Macaca mulatta: one gene and its partner. Each later gene encodes a partner of the first gene's protein in a complex. Links are inferred from orthologs where the notes say so. Each region holds a gene or a part of one and is shown on either strand. Other genes may lie near its edges. The genes, in order: LTK and ALKAL1.

What was found.
Region 2: the proteins of LTK (region 1) and ALKAL1 are in contact, whole or in part, in a crystal structure (PDB 7NX0), measured with the Homo sapiens proteins. The link is inferred for Macaca mulatta from reciprocal best matches to the Homo sapiens genes LTK and ALKAL1. Residues at the interface, in NP_002335.2 of Homo sapiens: Tyr124, His140, Phe143, Ala250, Ser251, Pro252, Glu253, Leu359, Phe360, Leu361, Gln362, Leu364, Ala365, Val366, Glu368, Glu372, Glu374, Arg376; in NP_997296.1 of Homo sapiens: His93, Arg96, Leu97, Asn100, Thr101, Arg102, Glu103, Arg112, Arg115, Leu116, Arg119, Leu120, Ser123.

The regions. Positions count from the first base shown.
Region 1 is NC_133412.1:18,861,497-18,870,991, reverse strand, and holds the end of LTK (leukocyte tyrosine kinase receptor), read left to right. Parts: intron 1-1,961; coding exon 1,962-2,060; intron 2,061-3,187; coding exon 3,188-3,340; intron 3,341-3,751; coding exon 3,752-3,847; intron 3,848-4,095; coding exon 4,096-4,291; intron 4,292-5,398; coding exon 5,399-5,489; intron 5,490-5,625; coding exon 5,626-5,690; intron 5,691-5,872; coding exon 5,873-6,002; intron 6,003-6,095; coding exon 6,096-6,193; intron 6,194-6,335; coding exon 6,336-6,428; intron 6,429-6,526; coding exon 6,527-6,628; intron 6,629-6,755; coding exon 6,756-6,890; intron 6,891-6,963; coding exon 6,964-7,054; intron 7,055-7,150; coding exon 7,151-7,399; 3' UTR 7,400-7,757; downstream 7,758-9,495. Other genes in the region: ITPKA (inositol-trisphosphate 3-kinase A), read right to left, coding at 8,225-8,428, 8,531-8,602, 8,885-8,986, 9,204-9,408. UniProt on the Homo sapiens protein: Receptor with a tyrosine-protein kinase activity. Following activation by ALKAL1 or ALKAL2 ligands at the cell surface, transduces an extracellular signal into an intracellular response.
Region 2 is NC_133413.1:63,171,159-63,181,303, forward strand, and holds the start of ALKAL1 (ALK and LTK ligand 1 precursor), read right to left. Parts: upstream 5,089-10,145; coding exon 4,899-5,088; intron 1-4,898. UniProt on the Homo sapiens protein: Cytokine that acts as a physiological ligand for receptor tyrosine kinase LTK, leading to its activation. Monomeric ALKAL1 binds to LTK, leading to LTK homodimerization and activation.

The DNA of each region.
Region 1 (9,495 bases):
GGCATTAAGCCCTTCTCAGCAGCTCCAGGCAAAGCAGGAGCTCTTAGAAAAGGAGGTCGAATATATTGCAAATCAGCATGCAGACAAGACTCCCTATATTTCCATTCAATCCAGGATATTTCCCATCACAGCAGGTCCCTGCCTTGTTCTGTAGCAGTCGTCAGAATTTAGAGCTGGCCAAGTGAGCAAGCTGAGCAGGAGGGCAGAAAGGCAGGATTGGGTTAAGTCAGTGGTCCTCAAAGTGTGGTCCAGGAACCAGCAATAATCCACACAACCTAAGTTGTTCGAAATGCAAATTATCGGCTGGGCCTGGTGGCTCTCGCCTGTAATCCCAGCACTCTGGGAGGCCAAGGCAGGTGGATCACCTGAGGTCACCAGCTCAAGACCAGTCTGGCCAACCTGGTGAAACCCTGTCTCTACTAAAAATACAAAAATTAGCCCGGCATGGTGGTGGGAGCCTGTAATCCCAGCTACTCTGGAGGCTGAGGCAGGAGAATCACTTGAACCTGGGAGGCAGAAGTTGCAGTGAGCTGAGAACTCCATTGCACTTCAGCCTGGGCGACAAGAGGGAAATTCTGTCTCAAAAAAAAAAAAAAAAAAAAAAAAAATGCAAATTATCCTGGGAGTTGGGGGAAGGTTAGGGAGACGCTGGTCAAAAAAATGCAAAATGGTAGTTAGATAGGAGGAATACCTTCCAGAATCTACTGTACTACATGGTGGCTGTAGTTAATGACGATGTATTCTTGAAAATTGCTAAGAGAGGCCGGGTGCGGTGGCTCACACCTGTAATCCCAACACTTTGGGAGGCGGAGGCGGGTGAATCTTTAGGTCAGGAGTTCGAGACCTGCCTGGCCAATATGGTGAAACCCCTGTCTGTACTAAAAATACAAAAATTAGCCGGGCATCGTGGCATATGCCTGTAATCCCAGCTACTCGGGAGGCTGAGACAGGAAACTCACTTGAGCCCGGGAGGTGGAGGTTGCAGTGAGCCAAGATCGCACCACTGCACTCTAGCCTGGGTGACAGAGCAAGACTCTGTCTCAAAAAAAAAAAGGAAAAGAAAATTGGTAAGAGAGTAGATTATAGGTGTTTTTACCACAGAAAATAAGTATGTGAGATAGTGCATATATTGGTTTGAATTAGCCATTGCACAATGTTTACATATTTCAAAACATCATGTTGTATACAATAAATATATGAATTTTTTTTTGAGACGGAGTCTGGCTCTGTCACCCAGGCTGGAGTGCAGTGGTACAGTCTTGGCTCACTGCAACCTCTGCCTCCTGGGTTCAAGCAATTCTCCTGCCTCAACCTCCTGAGTAGCTGGGATTACAGGCATGCACCATCATGCCCGGCTAATTTTTGTATTTTTAGTAGAGATGGGGTTTCACCATGTTGGTCAGGCTGGTCTTGGTCTCCTGACCTCATGATCCGCCCCTGTCAGCCTCCCAAAGTGCTGGGATTACAGGCGTGAGCCACTGCACCTGGCCCTGAATTTTTATTTTTCATTAAAAATTAATTTTTAAAAAGAAATGTGAATTCTCAGCCCTTCTGTAACATACTGAATCAGAAACTCTAGGGGATAGTCCCAGTCATCTGTGTTTTGATCAGTCCTCAAGTCTGGAAATGACTAGTGTAAATGCCTTTGTGCCTGTCCGGGCTGTTCTGTTCATACGTACGCACATCATCTATATTCCCACAGAAAGGGACTGTGAGGACATGGGACAGGAGGGGTTCAGGCAGGCAGGAGGCGTCAAGCGTCACAGCCAGCCTGAGCTAGGCCTTCAGTCTCCAGCTGATTACCCCTTCCTCACCTCCTTCACTCCCACTTGTGAACAGACAGCACTTGCATCATGATGCTGGAGAAGAGAAGGCCACACTGGGATTTCCACTGGGAGATTCCAGCTTCTCCCCCATCCCCCATTTTTGCAGTCAAACCCTCCATCACTCTCCACTTCCAGGGGGTGATGCTTCAGAGACTGACAACCTCTGGGCTGATGGGGAAGATGGAGTATCCTTCATACACCCCAGCAGCGAGCTCTATCTGCAGCCTCTGGCAGGTATTGGCCCCAACCCCACCTCTCAGCCTGGCCTGGACTTCTTCCTCAATCCCTGAACCCACTCCTGCACTGCACTGAAGAGCCATCTGCACCGTGAATAACCTTTCATAGCACAGGATTCTTGCATAGCACAGGGTCATTTGAAAAGTGGGCTGTCGGCCGGGCGCGGTGGCGCAAGCCTGTAATCCCAGCACTTTGGGAGGCCGAGACGGGCGGATCATGAGGTCAGGAGATCGAGACCATCCTGGCTAACACGGTGAAACCCCGTCTCTACTAAAAAATACAAAAAAAACTAGCCGGGCGAGGTGGCGGGCGCCTGTAGTCCCAGCTACTCAGGAGGCTGAGACAGGAGAATGGTGTGAACCCAGGAGGCGGAGCTTGCAGTGAGCTGAGATCCAGCCACTGCACTCCAGCCTGGGCGACAGAGCGAGACTCCATCTCAAAAAAAAAAAAAAAAGAAAAAAGAAAGAAAAGTGGGCTGTCATCGTGCCATTGCACTCCAGCCTGGGCGATAAGAGCAAAACTCTGTCTTAAAAAAAAGAAAAGTGGGCTGTCAGTTGTGCTGGATGCCAATGCAGGGCATGCTGCGTGCTTGTCAAGTACCCCCTTGCTATGAATTCACTTCAAATACCTGGGAGTGTGCAGGCTTGACAGAAGTCCCCCAGCTTCTCTCACCGCCCTTGTAAGCTTGGTGCTGCTCTTTGCTCTAAAGTCCTGGACAAGAATTAACCATGTGGCTGGAAAAGGCATGTATTTATTTATTTATTTATTTATTTTTATTTTTGAGACAGAGTCTTACTCTATCACCCAGGCTGAAGTGCAGTGGTGCGAGCTTGGGTCACTGCAACCTCCGCCTCCCAGGTTCAAGTGATTCTGCAGCCTCAATCTCTGGAGTAGCTGGGATTGCAGGCATGCGCCACCACACCCGGCTAATTTTTGTATTTTTAGCAGAGGCGGGGTTGGCCAGGCTGGTCTTGAACTCCTGACCTCTGGTGATTCGCCCACCTCGGCCTCCCAAAGTGCAGTGATTGTAGGCGTGTGCCACCATACCCAGCCAAAGGCATGTATTTAATATATCCCAGCCCCAGCCCCACCACACCATACCATATCAGTTCTTTTACTCACAGTCACCGAGAACCACGGAGAGGTAGAAATCCGAAGGCACCTCAACTGCAGTCACTGCCCTTTGAAAGACTGCCAATGGCAGGCAGAGCTCCAGTTGGCTGAGTGCCTGTGCCCAGAAGGCATGGAGCTAGCTGTGGATAACGTCACCTGCATGGGTATGTCCTACCTTTGCCCAAGGTCTGGACTCCTGGGGTCACAGACTGGGAGGAGCAGTAGGCCACTGGGAAAGATGGTATAGAGATTTGCTGCGTGCCAGGCCCTGTGGTGGGTGCTGGGCAGGGGACTGGAGATTCATGGGTGCACAGTGCCTTTCAGAGGCATGTCGTCCAGTGTGGGAGGCTGTTTAGATATAGCTATGTAAATGTATATCTCAAGTGACGATTGTTGTGGGAGGTATAAAGTGCCTTAGGGGTGTTCAAGAGGGAGAGGTTGCTTTTGCCCAGGATAATGGGGGAAGGCTTCATGGAAAAATTAACACTTGAGCTGAGTCTTGAAGCGTGGGTAAAACTTGAGGGTAGAGGAACAGAGAAGACCTTCCCACTGGAGGTGTCTCTCTTTCTCCCTAGACCTGCCCAACCCCCCAGGCCCTCTGGTTCTGATGGTGGCTGTGGTGGCAACCTCAACACTGAGCCTCTTTATGGTGTGTGGGGTCCTGATTCTGGGTACGAAGCATCTAGCAGGCACAGCTGATTCAAGGCTGCTCCTCTCCAATGAGCTGGGGTGGGCTTCACGACCACTCACCGCAGCAGAGCAGTGGTAGACTCCTGTGGGACTCTAAGATAGGAGGGAGCTGGGGAGGCCTGGGGAAAACGTTTACCAGAAGGAGCACCTGGAGGGGTGTCCTGGGCAGGTGGGGGAGGGAGACCTGATGGGCAGGCGGAGGGTGTGCCGTTATTCTCCCCACCCCCAGTGAAGCAGAAGAAGTGGCAGGGCCTGCGGGAGACGAGGCTGCCGAGCCCTGAGCTTGAGCTGAGCAAGCTTCGAACCTCTGCCATCAGGACGGCCCCCAATCCCTATTATTGCCAGGTGGGGCTTGGCCCGGCCCAGTCCTGGCCTCTGCCCCCAGGTGTCACCGAGGTTTCCCCAGCCAATGTTACTCTGCTCAGGTGAGTCTTCTGCCTCCTCCTGAGAACCTGTGCAGTCTGAATCCCCACCTCTGATTCTCTCCCTGCTGTAGTGAATTACAAATCCCAGAAACAATCTGGCCCACATCCCTTGCGTACGGGAGAGGGAGGCCGGGAGAAGCTCCAGAAGGGCCAGGAACTTGCTCAAAGTCACCTCTCCGTCCCAGTTCTTAGAATATGATCTCGCAGCTGGGCGTGGTGGCTCACGCCTATAATCCCAGCACTTTGGGAGGTCGAGGCGGGCAGGTCACGTGAGGTCGGGGGTTTGAGACCAGCCTGACCAACATGGAGAAACCCCATCTCTACTAAAAATACAAAATTATCTGGGCGGGGTGGTGCATGCCTATAATCCCAGCTACGTGGGAGGCTGAGGCAAGAGAGTCGCCTTAACCCGGGAGGCGGAGGTTGTGGTGAGCCGTGGTGAGCCGAGATCACACCATTGCACTCCAGCCAGGGTGACAGAGTGAGACTCTGTCTCAATAAAAAAAAATATGATCTCACGCCTGTAATCTCAGCACTTTGGGAGGCCAAGGCAGGCGGATCACCTGAGGTCATGAGTTCGAGATCAGCCTGGCCAACATAGTGAAACCCTGTCTCCACTAAAAACACAAAAATTAGCCAGGCGTGGTGGCACGTGCCTGTAATCCCAGCTACTCGGGAGGCTGAGGCAGGAGAATCACTTGAACCCGGGAGGCAGATGTTGTAGTGACCCAAAATTGCACCATTGCACTACAGCCTGGGTGACAGAGCGAGACTTTGTCTTAAAAAAAAAAAAAGAGAGAGAATATGACTCTTGGAGCCCAGGGATCGCCTCCCTCCCAGGGCATCTGCAGGGACACCAGGGAAGTCCTCATCATGCACTCTCACCTTGACTCTGACCCGCACCTGCCCTCTCTTTTGCCCTGGCTCTATGCCAGTCAGCATCACCCTTGCAGGGCTTCTACTTGGGGACATGCCATGGTATGGAGAGAGTCTGTATAGGGTCAGCTGGGCATATGGCAGGGGCAGGGGAGGTAAAGGGGATACTAGACTCTCTAGGGCTCTTCTCCAGGCTGCCTGCCCACTCCCTTCCAACCTGTCTTCCTGCAGAGCCCTGGGCCATGGTGCCTTTGGGGAGGTGTATGAGGGACTGGTAACTGGCCTTCCTGGGGACTCCAGTCCCCTGCAGGTGGCTATCAAGGTGAGAGGATTGGGACTTCTGGCTGGGGGTAGAAGAGTGGAACACCCTGAAGGGAAGGACAATGACTACAGCTAGGGTTAACCCCCCTCCCGTTGTGTCCAGGGCAACTCAGAAACTGTGCCCTTTTCCTCCCCAGACCCTGCCAGAACTCTGCTCTCCTCAGGATGAGCTGGATTTCCTCATGGAGGCACTCATCATCAGGTGCATGCGGGACCAGGGGCAGGGCTGGAAGGCGGGAAGGGAAGGCTCAGGAGCAGCTTCTCTTCACCCTGAGGCTGAGGTAGCAAGTCAGGGGACACAGAGGGCCTTTCCAGCTTTGTGGAGCCTAGAACATAGTTTCCATCTCCCTGCTGGTGACGGGGTATGTCCACCACCCCACTCAGCAAGTTTAGCCATCAGAACATTGTGCGGTGTGTGGGGCTCAGCCTCAGGGCCGCCCCTCGCCTCATTCTGCTGGAACTGATGTCTGGAGGGGACATGAAGAGTTTCCTGAGGCACAGTCGTCCACACCTGGTGAGACCCTTGTCTCAGCCCCCCAGGCCCCTCTAAAGACCCTGTCCATGTGTCTGAGACCTGCATGGACTGATGTCCCTCTGCCTGACCCAGGACCAGCCATCACCTCTGGTCATGCGGGATCTGCTGCAACTGGCCCAGGACATAGCCCAGGGCTGCCACTACCTGGAGGAAAATCACTTCATCCACAGGTTAGGAGCAGTCCTGGCTCAGGGGACCCCCATCCCCACTCCCTCCCCAAGGAACAGCCCTTCCACACAGCTTTTAAGGAAATAGATCAGGAAGAGCAAGAACTTCTGAATTCTGGCAGTGATTTTTTTGCCTACTCTGTAGGGATATTGCTGCGCGGAACTGCCTGCTGAGCTGCACTGGGCCCAGCCGTGTGGCCAAGATTGGGGACTTCGGGATGGCACGAGATATCTACCGGTGCGGAACTTGGGGAGGTGGGAAGGCTCTTGCTCCAAGGGGGTTTTGCCTGCACCTTGGTGGTAAACAACTCATCATTCACCTCCTCCCTCCTGTAGGGCCAGTTATTACCGCAGGGGGGACCGGGCCTTGCTCCCAGTCAAGTGGATGCCCCCAGAGGCCTTCCTGGAGGGCATCTTCACATCCAAGACAGATTCCTGGTGATAATACCCTTCCCCTTCTCCTCTGTTCCCCTCCCCTGAGGCTCATCCTGTCCTTTCCAGCCACCTCATGTGAGGGGAGGCTGCACCTGACGCGTCTCACTTGGTTCCCCCACTTGTGATGCAGGTCTTTTGGGGTGCTTCTCTGGGAGATCTTCTCACTGGGCTACATGCCCTATCCTGGGCGCACCAACCAGGAGGTGCTGGACTTCGTGGTTGCAGGGGGCCGGATGGACCCTCCTAGGGGCTGCCCCGGGCCTGTGTGAGTTGAGTGCTGCCTGGGAAGGGAGGTCCTTCACAGCCATGGGTGGGCATGAACTCTTGCCTCTCCCCAGGTACCGCATCATGACCCAGTGTTGGCAGCACGAGCCTGAGCTCCGCCCCAGCTTTGCCAGCATCTTGGAGCGTCTTCAGTACTGCACTCAGGTGTGCCCCTGACCTAATCTGACATCCTGGTCTTGTGGGTCAGGAGGCGGGGCCAGAAAACTCTATGCCCGGTGCTGCCCGAGTCTTCCATTACAGGACCCTGATGTGCTGAATTCACCCCTGCCAATGGAGCTGGGGCCCACCCCAGAGGAGGAAGGGGCTTCTGGGCTGGGGAACAGATCTTTGGCGTGCCTAAGACCCCCACAGCCCCAGGAACTGAGTCCAGGGAAGTTGAAAAGTTGGGGAGGTAGCCCTCTTGGCCCCTGGCTTTCCTCTGGCCTCAAGCCCCTCAAATCCAGGGGCCTCCAACCTCAGAACCTCTGGAATCCCACCTATCGCTCCTGAGCCCCAAGGAGCCCTGAGGGTGAGGACTGAGGCACTGAGGGTCCCTCCCTGTACTCCTCAGGCTCCTGGGTGGCCTGTTATGCCAGCGGCCCCTGTTCCCTGCAGTCTGTGCTCTGTATCTGGGCCTGTCTCGGAGCTGGCCTGGCAGCACTGCACTTGCCATGCCGGAAACCAGCCCAGGCCTCCCAGGGAAAGGCCCAGCCACTTCCAGCTTTTGATCTTTGGGCCAGAGGCCACCTTACACACACCCCAGGTGTCCATGGGGAGCACTGGATTGCCCTCCTACTATGAGCATCCTTCATCTGGGCAGAACCCCACCCTGCAGATGCTTCTAATAAAAAGCGCTTCTCATCTTCCAGCGATCTGAGTGGATGCCAGGGATACAGGAAGAGGGCACCAGAGGAGGGAGGGGCGGAGGGCTGAGGCACAGGAAGCTGCATCTTGTCTTTGAGTTTTATTAGGAAGGGGAGTCCAACCTAGTGTAAGAGGTTAGACCAGAAGGTCTAGGCTTGCTAAATAAAATCCACGGTCTGGCCCCTCTGGAGAGAGCAGAGCCTCCTCAGAAAAGCTGGCCTGAGGAAGAAGCCCTTTGCCCCCTCCCCTCCTATAAGTTAGTGTCATTTGGCTCTGGGAACGCTGGGGCCCGGGGTGGGCGAAACCCCTGGCATTGGCAGTGCCCCCCCTTAGTGGTTGGCACCTGGCCCTGCCGGACCCGGTGAACTGCCCTGCACCGCGGGGCTCCAGTCTCAAGCCGGCATGCACGGTGGGGACAAAGCTGCAGGTCCACATGTCAGGGCGGCGGCCCACGGGGACAGGAGTCCAGCCTCATCTCTCAGCCAGGCTGGCCAGGATGCCAATGAGATTGTCCAGCCCCAGCAAATAGCCGTCCTCGCGATTGCCCTCCTCCCAGGGCCGCCGGTGGTCCAGGATCTGGCCATCGGGGAGGGGCGTGGTCTTGCCGAAGTCGATGAGCCACACGCCGGCGCGATGGCAGTGATCGTGCACAAAGAGGAGCGAGCTGCCGATCACCTGCGAGCCCCGCATGGTCAGGCCGCGGCCCTGCCCAGAGACGCCCCCGCCGGGTTCCCGCCCTAGCCCTCGCGGCCAGGCACCCAGGCGGCCACGGCTTACCTCGTGCCTCCTGAAGAACTCAGAGACCTCCAGGGTGTCCCGGATCTGCTGCAGGCGGTTCAGATACCGCCTCTGCAGAGGGTGGGTGGGAGAGGAGGGCAAGTTAATTAAACGCCAAGTGAGCCCCTGCTAACGATAAGGAGCCGGGACCCAGGCTGGGCTTGGCAAATGCCGCTGTGAGGAAGACCCAGGACGCCGCCCGGCGTGGCCCAGAAGGGAAGGAGCCTAGAGCAGTTGCGACCCAGTGTGGTGAAGGCCACGGTGGGGACACAGCTGAGGGCACTGGGCCAGATGACAGGGGCAGTCCCTAGTTTCAGGCTCCCTAACACCTCAGGGTTGAGATCCCGCTCTCACCAGCACTTCCTCGTCTCCTTGCACAAACTCTTCAAAGACGCGAAGCACCTGCTCCCGGCTTCGCGTAGTCTTGAAGTCGGTGCTGCAGGAACCGTCCGCTTTCTGGAGGTGGGACAGGAGTGTCAGGGGCCCCAGGCCCGCCAGTGGGGAAGAGGACAGCCTAGGGCAGTGGTACCTCCCAGTTGCAGGGGACTGCGAGGCGGTGGGAGAGGGCGGAGGGGCAGGCAGGGCGGGAGCGGAGGAGGTGGGCACCGACAGATCGGGAAAGACAGGGCGCAGTGGGGCTGGGGCGGTGCCAGTCGAAGCGCGCCTGCCCCACCTTGATGCCCTCGATGCGGAAGCCGAGCGTGGTGCTGGAGCTGATGCCTTCCCGCCACTGCATGTAGCGTGGCTTGGTGACTGCGCGCTGCGCGTGCTCCTCCTCAGTGGGCGCTTCAGGGTCCACCGCCAGCATCTTCTTGTACATGTCCTTCCGTAGCTTGGGCCGCTCACGGGCCTTGGTCAGCTCCTCCTCTAGGTAAGTCCTATGCGGGCGCGGGCAGCGGCCAGGGCATAAGGGGGCGCACACGGAGACCCCTTCGAGCTCTCGCCCCGGGACCCCCTCAAGCAGT
Region 2 (10,145 bases), on another chromosome or scaffold:
ATAACCAAGCTCTGAAGCAGTCATGATGATATCCGTCTTTTCAGGTTCACCATGGCTGACGCCCGGGTGGTGCTTGGAGAGAGTAAGAAGCTGCCTGCCTGCAGCTCCTAGGCCAGGAGCCTGGTCAGGTGCTCCACATATCTCCCCTGTTGTTACATCTTCACGAGAAGCCTCATGATGGGGTCTTCCCTGTGGCGCAGACAAGGCACCTGGAACTCAGAGATCCACTCCTTCCCAATTCCACAGCAAGCCTGGAACCAGTGCTTTCTGTCTCATGGAAATGATCAATAGCCAATCTGATACTGTCGATAAACTTTTTACAAATCTATCAGCCAGAAATAATCACCTTTTGGGGTTTCAATTTTTTGGCGTTTTTGTTTTCCGGTTTTCTCACATGTAATCATTGCATAATAAAGATAAGACTTTTTTTAACAGTTGGCTTATATAATTTGCCTTATGTTTACAGAGAAAACAGAGCCTACCAAGTGTGAGTAGACACATACATAAGATGAGTAGTAATTACAGATTCTGTAGAAGTTAAGCAAAGTTGAAGACTCATATATTCAGATTGTAAAATATTAACAGAAGTATAAAATGTTGGCCGTGGTGGTAGCTCACGCCTGTAATTCTAGCACTCTGGAAGGCCAAGGACTGCAGATCATTTGAGGTCAGGAGTTTGAGACCAGCCTGTGCAATGTAGCAAAACCCATCTCTACTAAAAACACACAAAAAATTACTGGGTGTGGTGGCATGTGCCTGTAGTCCCAGCTACTTGTGAGGCTAAGTTGGGAGGTTGAGGCTGTAGTGAGCTGAGATCGAACCATTTCACTCCAGCCTGGGCAACCAGAGTGAGACTGTCTCAAAAAAAAAAAAAAGAAGAAGAAGAAGTATAAAATGTTCATAATGGGGCCTGATGCAGTGGCTCACTCCTGTAATCCCAGCACTTTGGGAGGCCGAGGCAGGTGGATCACTTGAGGTCAGGAGTTCAAGACAAGCCTGGCCAACATGGCAAAACCCTGTCTCTACTATATATATATATATAATGTATATATCTGCCTTTCTTTCCAAGGAAGCCAGGACCTTCTTGGAAAATCAAGAGAACTCACAGCAGATTTATGACTGGAAAGAGACCAGCCCCATGCTACTTATTAAGCACATTCATTTGTCATTGTCCAGCATAACCTCATCAAAACTCCTTCACATGCTCTCCTTAAGCTCCACATCAGCGAGGTTTTATATTAAAACAGCAACAGCAACCACAACAACACAAATCTGACCCCAGAAAGCCTGTAGAAATAAGGTAAACATGAAATACCTTGAAAAGGCAGCGGTAGCAAAGGAAACGTCACATACATCAATACTTGCTAACAGTCCCCTTACACTGCTACCTCTCACACCTCAAGCCAATTTCCTTTCTGTCAAAAACTCTGAACCTCCTCTCTACTCCCACCACGGCCCTGTTCTCAGCCTTCTGACTCTGTTTTTCTTTCAGTGGATGAGTGTTCTGATGTTTCTTTCCTTTGGCAGAGTTTGAGGTTTGGTCCCTTGTTTGTGCCATTCTGCTGGTGGCGCAGGGACCAAAGACAAAGGGAGGAGGGAAACAGGAATGAGAGAGCAGGAGTGAAGGTTACTGGGAATTCTTATCCCAACAGGACACACTGTCAGGGGCACTAATAGAATTGGAGATGATGTAGAAGGTCACCATAAAGCTCTCAAGAGGGTCTGAACTAGAGTGGTGGGAAGGACACTAAAAAGGAAGACCCAGATTCGAGAGACATCGGAGGCAGGAATTACGAACTGAATTGTGCTCCTCAAGCACAATTGTCAACAATGTTGCTCATCACAGCGACCACAGCTGTGTGTTAAATGGCTAAATGACGGGACGGATACATGCATGAACAAGTGGGCTGTGAGAAGGAAGGAGGACCAAGGACGGTGAATCAGGAGTGTTCCTGGGAACCTAACACATCTCCTCCAGTCCCCCACTCTCCACAATCCTCATAGCATGCTGTCTGGCCCCTCCTGCCTCAAGGTTTCCTAGTTACTACTCCCTCTCCCTGGAAATGATCCCCCCACCTCCAGCTCACATCTGCATTTAGGGAAGTTGCCAGGCCTACAGAAAAAGGCAGACAGCGCAACTGCAGGAGCAGCAAAGATTTCTGAACCTAGAACAGGTACATTAGGTCTGGGCGATGGTGCTTATTATGTCACTACAGAAATATGGAGCCATCATTCCAGGCACATCTGACAGGGATGAGAGTCCTTGACCTCCCGGACCTGCGAGACATTTTCCTCCTGAATGAACGATAACCCCTGCCACCTGCTGAGTGCGCCCCTTGAGAACATCCAGATAGGCCCTTGCCCTCTATATTCTCATGTCCTTGTTTGTCCCTGATCCATGTGCAAGTACTCCATTCACAGACTCAGATACAGATGTTATGAGCCACCCTTTTCTCCCCTTGTGAATGTAGTGTAGCAATCAAAAACTTACACAACTACAGTCACAGAAAGCAATGTCTTTGAGGGTGCCCACAGGGCACTTTCCGTCTGACTATATTGTTGTTTAAAACTTCAGATGGTTGCCACTTTTAACTTTTTTTTTTTTTTTTTTTTTTTTTTTTTTTTTTTTGAGACGGAGTCTCACTCTGTCGCCCAGGCTGGAGTGCAGTGACCGGATCTCAGCTCACTGCAAGCTCCGCCTCCCGGGTTCACGCCATTCTCCTGCCTCAGCCTCCCCAGTAGCTGGGACTACAGGCGCCCGCCACCTCGCCCGGCTAGTTTTTTGTATTTTTTAGTAGAGACGGGGTTTCACCGGGTTAGCCAGGATGGTCTCGATCTCCTGACCTTGTGATCCGCCCGTCTCGGCCTCCCAAAGTGCTGGGATTACAGGCTTGAGCCACCGCGCCCGGCCCACTTTTAACTTTTAATAAAATATTTTTGGCCAGGCACAGTGGCTCACGCCTGTAATTCCAGCACTTTGGGAGACCGAGGTGGGCAGATCACCTGAGGTCAGGAGTTTGAGACCAGCCTAGCGCAACATCGTGAAATCCCTTCTCTACTAAAACTACAAAAAAAGAAAAATAAAAATTAGCCGGGCGTGGTGGTGCACCTGTAATACTTGGGAGGCTGAGGCAGGAGAATGGTTTGAACCTGGGAGGCAGAGGTTGCAGTGAGCCCAGATCACACCACTGCACTCCAGCCTGGGTGACAAGAGCGAAACTCCATCTCAAAATAAATAAATAAATAAATAAATAAATAAATAAATAAATAAAATATTGTTTTATCCCTTGTAACTCACTTCGGTAAGTCTTCACTGTCTGAATCAAAGAGAAAAGATCTGTTGAATGAAACAGGTCTGAATGAATGTGTGCCCTCGACCTTTCTGTACTTTGAGAGCCTTTCTCCCAGATCTTTCACATTCCAAAGTCACATTTTATTCTCTGAGATAAATATTTCAGGCTAACAATAATTTTAAGTCGAAGTGCATGATCCGTGTGCACCATTGTTGCATGGCCGTGCTGCGGACACTGACCCTGTGCCTTCCCCCTCCTGAGGGCTCCCCAGTGGCCGGCTGGACTGAGAGGCTCTGCCGGGGTTGTCCACACACCAGCTGGGCAGCCCACCTCAGCTTCCCACCTTCTCCATCCCCTCCCCGGGGCAGGACACCCTGCTCACTCAGTGCAGGTGTGCACCAGCCCCTCCCTCCACACCCAAGTGTGCAGGAGAGCACAGACACTGCTGTCTGCTCCTCTGGGTGGCCTCCGCCCTCTGCATGGTGACAGACAGGAACTCGAAGAAAGTTTGTGGAGTGAATAAGTATATATTTATATCATAACTACTGTGGAAAAAAATGATACTAAGAAGCCGTTGTTTGCTTTCTTAGCCATGAAGCCTGAGGAGAAGGGATCAGGAGCTGTGCTCCCATGGCCAGCCACTGGCTGCGGGGCATCCCCAGGCCACCCTAGGCCCTCTCCTCTTCTCAAGCCTGATGGAGGCCACCAAATGTCCCTGCAGAGGGGCCCTTCTGTCCCAGTCTCGCCGGCAGCTTCACCTTGCTTTACTGTTGCTGGGTGTGAACAGAAACGTGTCAGGAGCTTCTCGCTTCTGTCCCCATCTTCCTTCCCTGCGTGTCCTGCCCTCCTCCCTTCAGCGCTGCCCAAATGCCCAGCCGCCCCCTCGGACCTCCTTTTCCAAGGCCTTTTCCGTTTTCCCTGCATTCACAAGAGCTCTTCTCTGCCCGTGGGTGTCTCATGACCCTCTAGAGCGTAACTTTTTCCTCTCTCATTCCTTCCACTCCCCTTGGGCACCTAAGTAGCAGGAACCCGACTTGTCCAAAGTTGATTTGGGAGCAGCCGGCTGCGTCTTGGGCCCTTCTAAAATGATCTAGGAAAGGTTCCAGTAACATAAGCTGCCGCCTGCTGAAACTGGCGCATCCTCAGCCACTCGCTGCGGCCAGCGTGAAGGGGAAGGGAACTGGGCATTCCTGGCACCGTCAGGTGTCTACGAACAGCAATCTTAGTTAATTCTCAAAACCCCGGAAAACCCAGAAATGAGGCGCTGACAGGGACCTAACCTGTCCACCACGCCTAGGCCGGTGGGACTGAAACCCATGTCTTTGGGCTGCTTTACCAGTTTATTTCCAAAAAGGCCTCCCACACCTGGGAGGGGACATAGAAGGCTGGTCCCATTGCCAGCCGGATTTCTTTACTTAACTCTCAACCGTGGTAAATCTAATACGCTTACGACCTCTTTCTGAGAGCTGGGAATCTGCAGAGATGCTCTGTTCTCTGCTGTACTAATCTCAAGCTTCCCAAAGCGAGTGCCTCACCCAGCTCCTAGGGGAATCCACGGAGCCCCAGGTGCAGGGCAAAGGATGGGGCGGGACGGGGACATCCTACCTGCGCTCCGGGAGCCGCTGGGAGTCCGGCCGGCCCCGGCCGCGGGGAGGAAAAGTAACGGCTTGGGCTCCTCATTCGTGACGTGCGCTCCCCTGCGCCCCCGCGGCCTCCCGTGGGCTCCGGGCGGGGACAAAGCCAGCGCCAGCAGGAGGAGTGCGGGCAGCGGGGCACCAGGCTTGAAGGGCCACATGTTCGCAAGCGGGCAGAAGAGAGTGGGAGGCTCGTGGAGGATCCTGACGCAGTTCCGGAGGGTGCGCAGCCCAAGAGATGGCCCCCTGGACCAGAGCGCGGCTACGCGGCCGGCCGCAGTCCTCACCGCGCGCCTGCCCTTGTCTGCGTCCCGGGGGTCGGCTGGAGCTGCACTGGGACTCGGCCCCCAGAGTGCCGAAGCCTAAGCGCTGCGGGGCGCGGGGCGGGAACGGGAGGCGGTGCCTGGGGCCACCCGGTCGTCCCCCAGGATGAGGGCGTGTCCCAGCGCGCGGGACCCTCGGAAGTCCGTGCAGCCTGCCCTGACGGACACCAATCTCGGACTCAGGGGTTCTCAGGGCTCCCTACGCAACGCCTGCCTTGGACCCGGACCCTAAGCTCGCTCTCTGGTCGGCATCCCTGGGAGGACCCAGAAAGGTACCCGCCGCGTCGCCCCGGCGGTTCTCCCTGGGCTCTGTCTCCCGCCACCCCCACTCCGCAAGCCTCGGCGCCCGTCACGGATTCCCCTAGTTGGCTGGGGTCAGTAGAACCCGCGGTGCCTAGGTCGGGACGGAAAAAAGCAGCGCCGAGATGCGGCCTGGATGAGCGGAGATCGCCGCGCCTTGGACGCAAAGGTGCCGGGTGCGCTCACCTGCCGAGCCCCTCCCTGCTCGCTCAGGAACCATGGCCACTCCGTCACGCCAGCCGCCCCTGCCCCAGCTCTGGAGGCCAGACCTGCCCTCCTGGGCGCAGCACCGCGTTCTCTTCCGCGTGGGGGAGAAGAGGGCGGAGGAGGTCTAGGGCTGGGCACCGGGGACACACGCCCAGCTTCCCTGGCCATCCTGCATGGAGTGGCTGGTTTCAGTTCTTCCCCAAGTGAAATCGCCAGGGTTGACCAGTGCGCCCAAGAAAGCAGCCGGCTGAATTTTTCTTCAAATTAGGGAACTCTTCTAAAGAGTTTTAGTGTTAACAACTTAAAAAATGAAATTAAGACCAGTCGTCCTGATTAAAATAAAGTGAGCATCTCTGATCAAACCGCGCTCTGTAAACTGCTGTTGTTTTAGTTATTTCAGCCGCCTGCTTTATTGCTTTATATTAAGCATATTGAAAAATGTTGAAATTGCTCTCTAATCAACTGACTACTAATTATCTCCTCATATGCAAAGTGCAAACAGGTGAACGGAAGAGAACAGGAATAACTAAGGAAACTGAGGCTCCATTACTCCTTAGACATTGACCAATGTTACATTACTCTACAAAAAAAAAAAAAAAATCTTGTCGGTCACAGATCCTGAAAAATGACCTCAACTCCTTCAAATCGTTTATCTAGGTTTGGCATGTCCGACATGCCCTAGAAATTGGGGAAACAAAGCAAGCTTTGCAGGAGCGCTGTGAAATCGTGCCTTTGGATGATGCTCTTTTGAGGAAGCTGTTACACGGGTGAAGACTGCTTCTTCCAATCGTTTCACTGTCAAGCTTGCATAGGAATATGGTATTTCCTAAGCAAACACAGCGGTGTAACAGAATGGCTTCCACCACCGAAGACCCAGAAGAGTCTTCCTAGAAAAACAGGTTAAGAGTCTGAAGGCCCTACTTAGGTGGAATAAACGCTTTCTCACAGCTCTACTTAAGCGAAATAAGAAAACATTAGAAGTTCACAGACATTGACAGGCAGTTCAAAAATAATTTTATTGGAAAATAAAAAAATAGGGACTAGTCTGGAAAACGATGGGGAAATGCAGTATGAAATAATGCTGGAGAAGAAGTGATACTGAAACCATGACAAATGGATTTTTTAATCAACCATCTATCAGGAGCAAATGACAGCAAAACCTGAAAGCTGAATTATTTCCCTCTTCCTATACGTTGAAAGCTAGAGGAAATAAACAAAGCAATGAAGTTTTCGAGACTGACAGCTTGGGGTCTACTTTCAGCGTCATTAGCCATAGGACCCTGAGCAAACCATTTAGTCTTCTCTCTAGCAAGGTTAGGAGGTTGAACTTCAGTGGTTCTCAGACTGTATATCATGTGAAAGAGAGGCTGTAAAAAAAATGCAGGTTCCCACACCCCTCGGGATGCAGTCCCCCAGAAGAATCCCGTAAATCTGCACCCAGAAGAATCCCGTAAATCCGCATTTTAAGGGACTCTGGGTAGTTCTGAAGCAAGTGGTCCTTTGAAACCCACCTTTATTCGTTCAACAAAAATGATGTGAATGCACACTGTGGAGCAGGCAGTGAAAACACAGCGGAGCCACCACAATGGGTAAAATACACGAAATCCTCATCTTTGTGGAGCATCTAGCTTCAGGGATCTAGTTTGCCAACACAATGCTTTTATTGTAAATAAACAGGTTGCCTATAGCTAAGTCACTCTTTGCTTTTGTTCTTTGTTCATTGCGTATCTTTGACTACTTTTCTAACTGCCCCAACTAAATGCTGCTTGCCCTGCCTCTTGCTAATTTGTTTAGAGGCAACTTGAAGTGTTCATGTCGACATGCCCTCAGTAACACTTGCTAATTTATTATTTAGTGTATAAGGAGGGGTTATCCGTGTAGAAACGGGTACTTAGTAACTAACGTTTAAAGTAATCCAAAGTTTTTTAAACTGTAACTGTTACAAGCTATTTTAAGCCTTGAAACTCAAGGCACTTATTTTCTTTACAACTTAGCTAATAAATTAAACAAGTGAAGTTTCTTTATTTAACACCAACAAACCCTATTAAACATTTCAAAATACAATCACATATTTAATATAATTGATTTTCTTAAACATTTTTAAAAACAGAAAAGTCACAAGTATTGAAAAAATCCATTGCTACATCTCCCCCAAAATATTGGTAATATTGATAATATAAACTTGAGGTTCTCTAGACAGAACTAACAGGATATATATATATATATATATAAACTTAATAAACTCCTACACATATATATAGGAGTTTATTAAGTATTAACTTACACAATCACAAGATCCCACAACAGGCTGTCTGCAAGTTTGAGCAACAAGGAGACCCAGTCCAAGTCTCAGAACTGAAGAACTTTGGAATCCGATGTCCGAGGGCAGGAAGCATCCAGTATGGGAGAAAGATGTAGGCTAGGAGGCTAGGCCAGTCTCACCTGTTCACATTTTTCTGCCTGCTTCATATTCGCTGGCAGCTGATTAGATGGCTCCCACTAGATTAAGGGTGGGTCTGCCTTCCCCAGCCCACTGACTCAAATGTTAATCTCTTTTGGCAACACCCTCATAGACACACCCAAGATCAATGTTTTATATACTTCAATCCAATCAAGTTGACACTCAGTATTAACCATCACAAGAATAAGATTATGACACAAACCCAGAGAGTCGATATACCCCTGAGGTAGGACAGTAAAGGTATATTGCTGGCCTTGCCAGATGAAGGAAAATTGCTTCTGGTGGGCCTTATGGATGGGAATGGAGAAAATGGCATTTGCCAAGTCAATGTCTGCATACTGGATGCTAGGAGATGTGGTAATTTGCTCAAGCAATGAAACTACATCTGGTACTGCAGCTGCAATTGGAGTCACCACTTGGTTAAGCTTATGATAATCCACTGTCATTCTCCAAGATCCATCTGTCTTCTGCACAGGCCAAACAGGAGAGTTTAATGGGAATGTTGGGGGAATCCAAATCACCTCCCCTGCATCTTTCAAGTCCTTGATAGTGGCACTAATCTCCTCAATTCCTCCAGGTATGCAATATTGTTTTTGATTTACTATTTTTCTAGGTAGAAGCAGCTCTAATGGCTTCCATTTGGCCTTTCCCACCATGAAAGCCCTCAGCCTACCAGTCAGGGAGCCAATATGGGGGTTCTGCCAGCTGCTAAGTATGTCTATGCCAATTTTGCATTCTGGCACTGGGGAAATGACCACAGGATGAGTCTGGGGACCCACTGGAACCTAGTGTAAGTTGGACCTGAGCTAGAGTTCCTTTAATTACCTGACCTCCATAAGCCCCTACTTTAACTGGAGGACCATAATGACATTTTGGGTCCCCTGGAATCAACATCAGCTCAGAGCCAGGGTCCAGTAGCCCCCAAAATGTCTGATCATTTCCCTTTCCCAATGCACAGTTACCCTGGTGAAAGGCTGGAGGTCTCCTTGAGGAAGGATGGGGAAAAGATTCACTGCATAAATTGTCAGTAATGTAGTAGGGTCCTTTCTCAAGGGGACCCAGACTCAAGGGGTTCTGGGTTTGTAAACTAGCTCAAGTCTGGAAATTGATTGAGGGGCCATCATTCTCTGTTTTTGTAATTCAAATTAGTCTTTTGTCCATTCGAACTAGAATTTTTCTCCTTATATAAATTAAGAAGGAATGCAGTAGGCTTCCCATCAATTTCACTTCTAGGAACACTGTGATTAATTAGCCAATGGCAGAGCTCCACACGAGTCAGACTATTCTGATTGCTGCTTTGCCTCTGCTGTCCATTATGTTAGCTACGTCCACCTTGCATTTGACGGTTGAGTGCTACCACTTGGCCCCTGCCTCCTTGGGATCCAATTATGCCCATTGTATTTAAATTTTGTAGTTGAATGACTATGGTTCCCACCATTAGATCTGACATACAGAAAAGAGCAATTACAGGGCTCTTCAAAGATGCAAGTGCTGCCCTCACAAATCTTTATCACAATGCATTGGTAAAGGCTATATCTTCTGGACCCTCCCAGCTGGAATGAGTAGGTGTAAAGTGACTAAGCCACTCCACCATCCCAATCTCCCTAAGCCTTTGGATTCCCTCCTCTACATTAAACCAAGGGAGGTCAGGCATTTCCAGCTTGCTCTCAGTGAGCTATCTTTTAATCCATATTTCAGCTAACTGAGCAAATCAGCTATTAGAACCTTTTTTTAACTCCCCAAGCTGCAACATTAAAAGCAGAGTCCCTACTTAGTGGGTCCAAATCAATAAATTAAGCCTGATCCAACTCTATGTTCCTTCCACCATTATCCCATACCCTTAATGTCCATTTCCATGCCTGTTCTCCAGATTTCTGTTTATATACATTAGGGAACTTAAGCAGTTCTTTTCAAATGTAGTGCACCT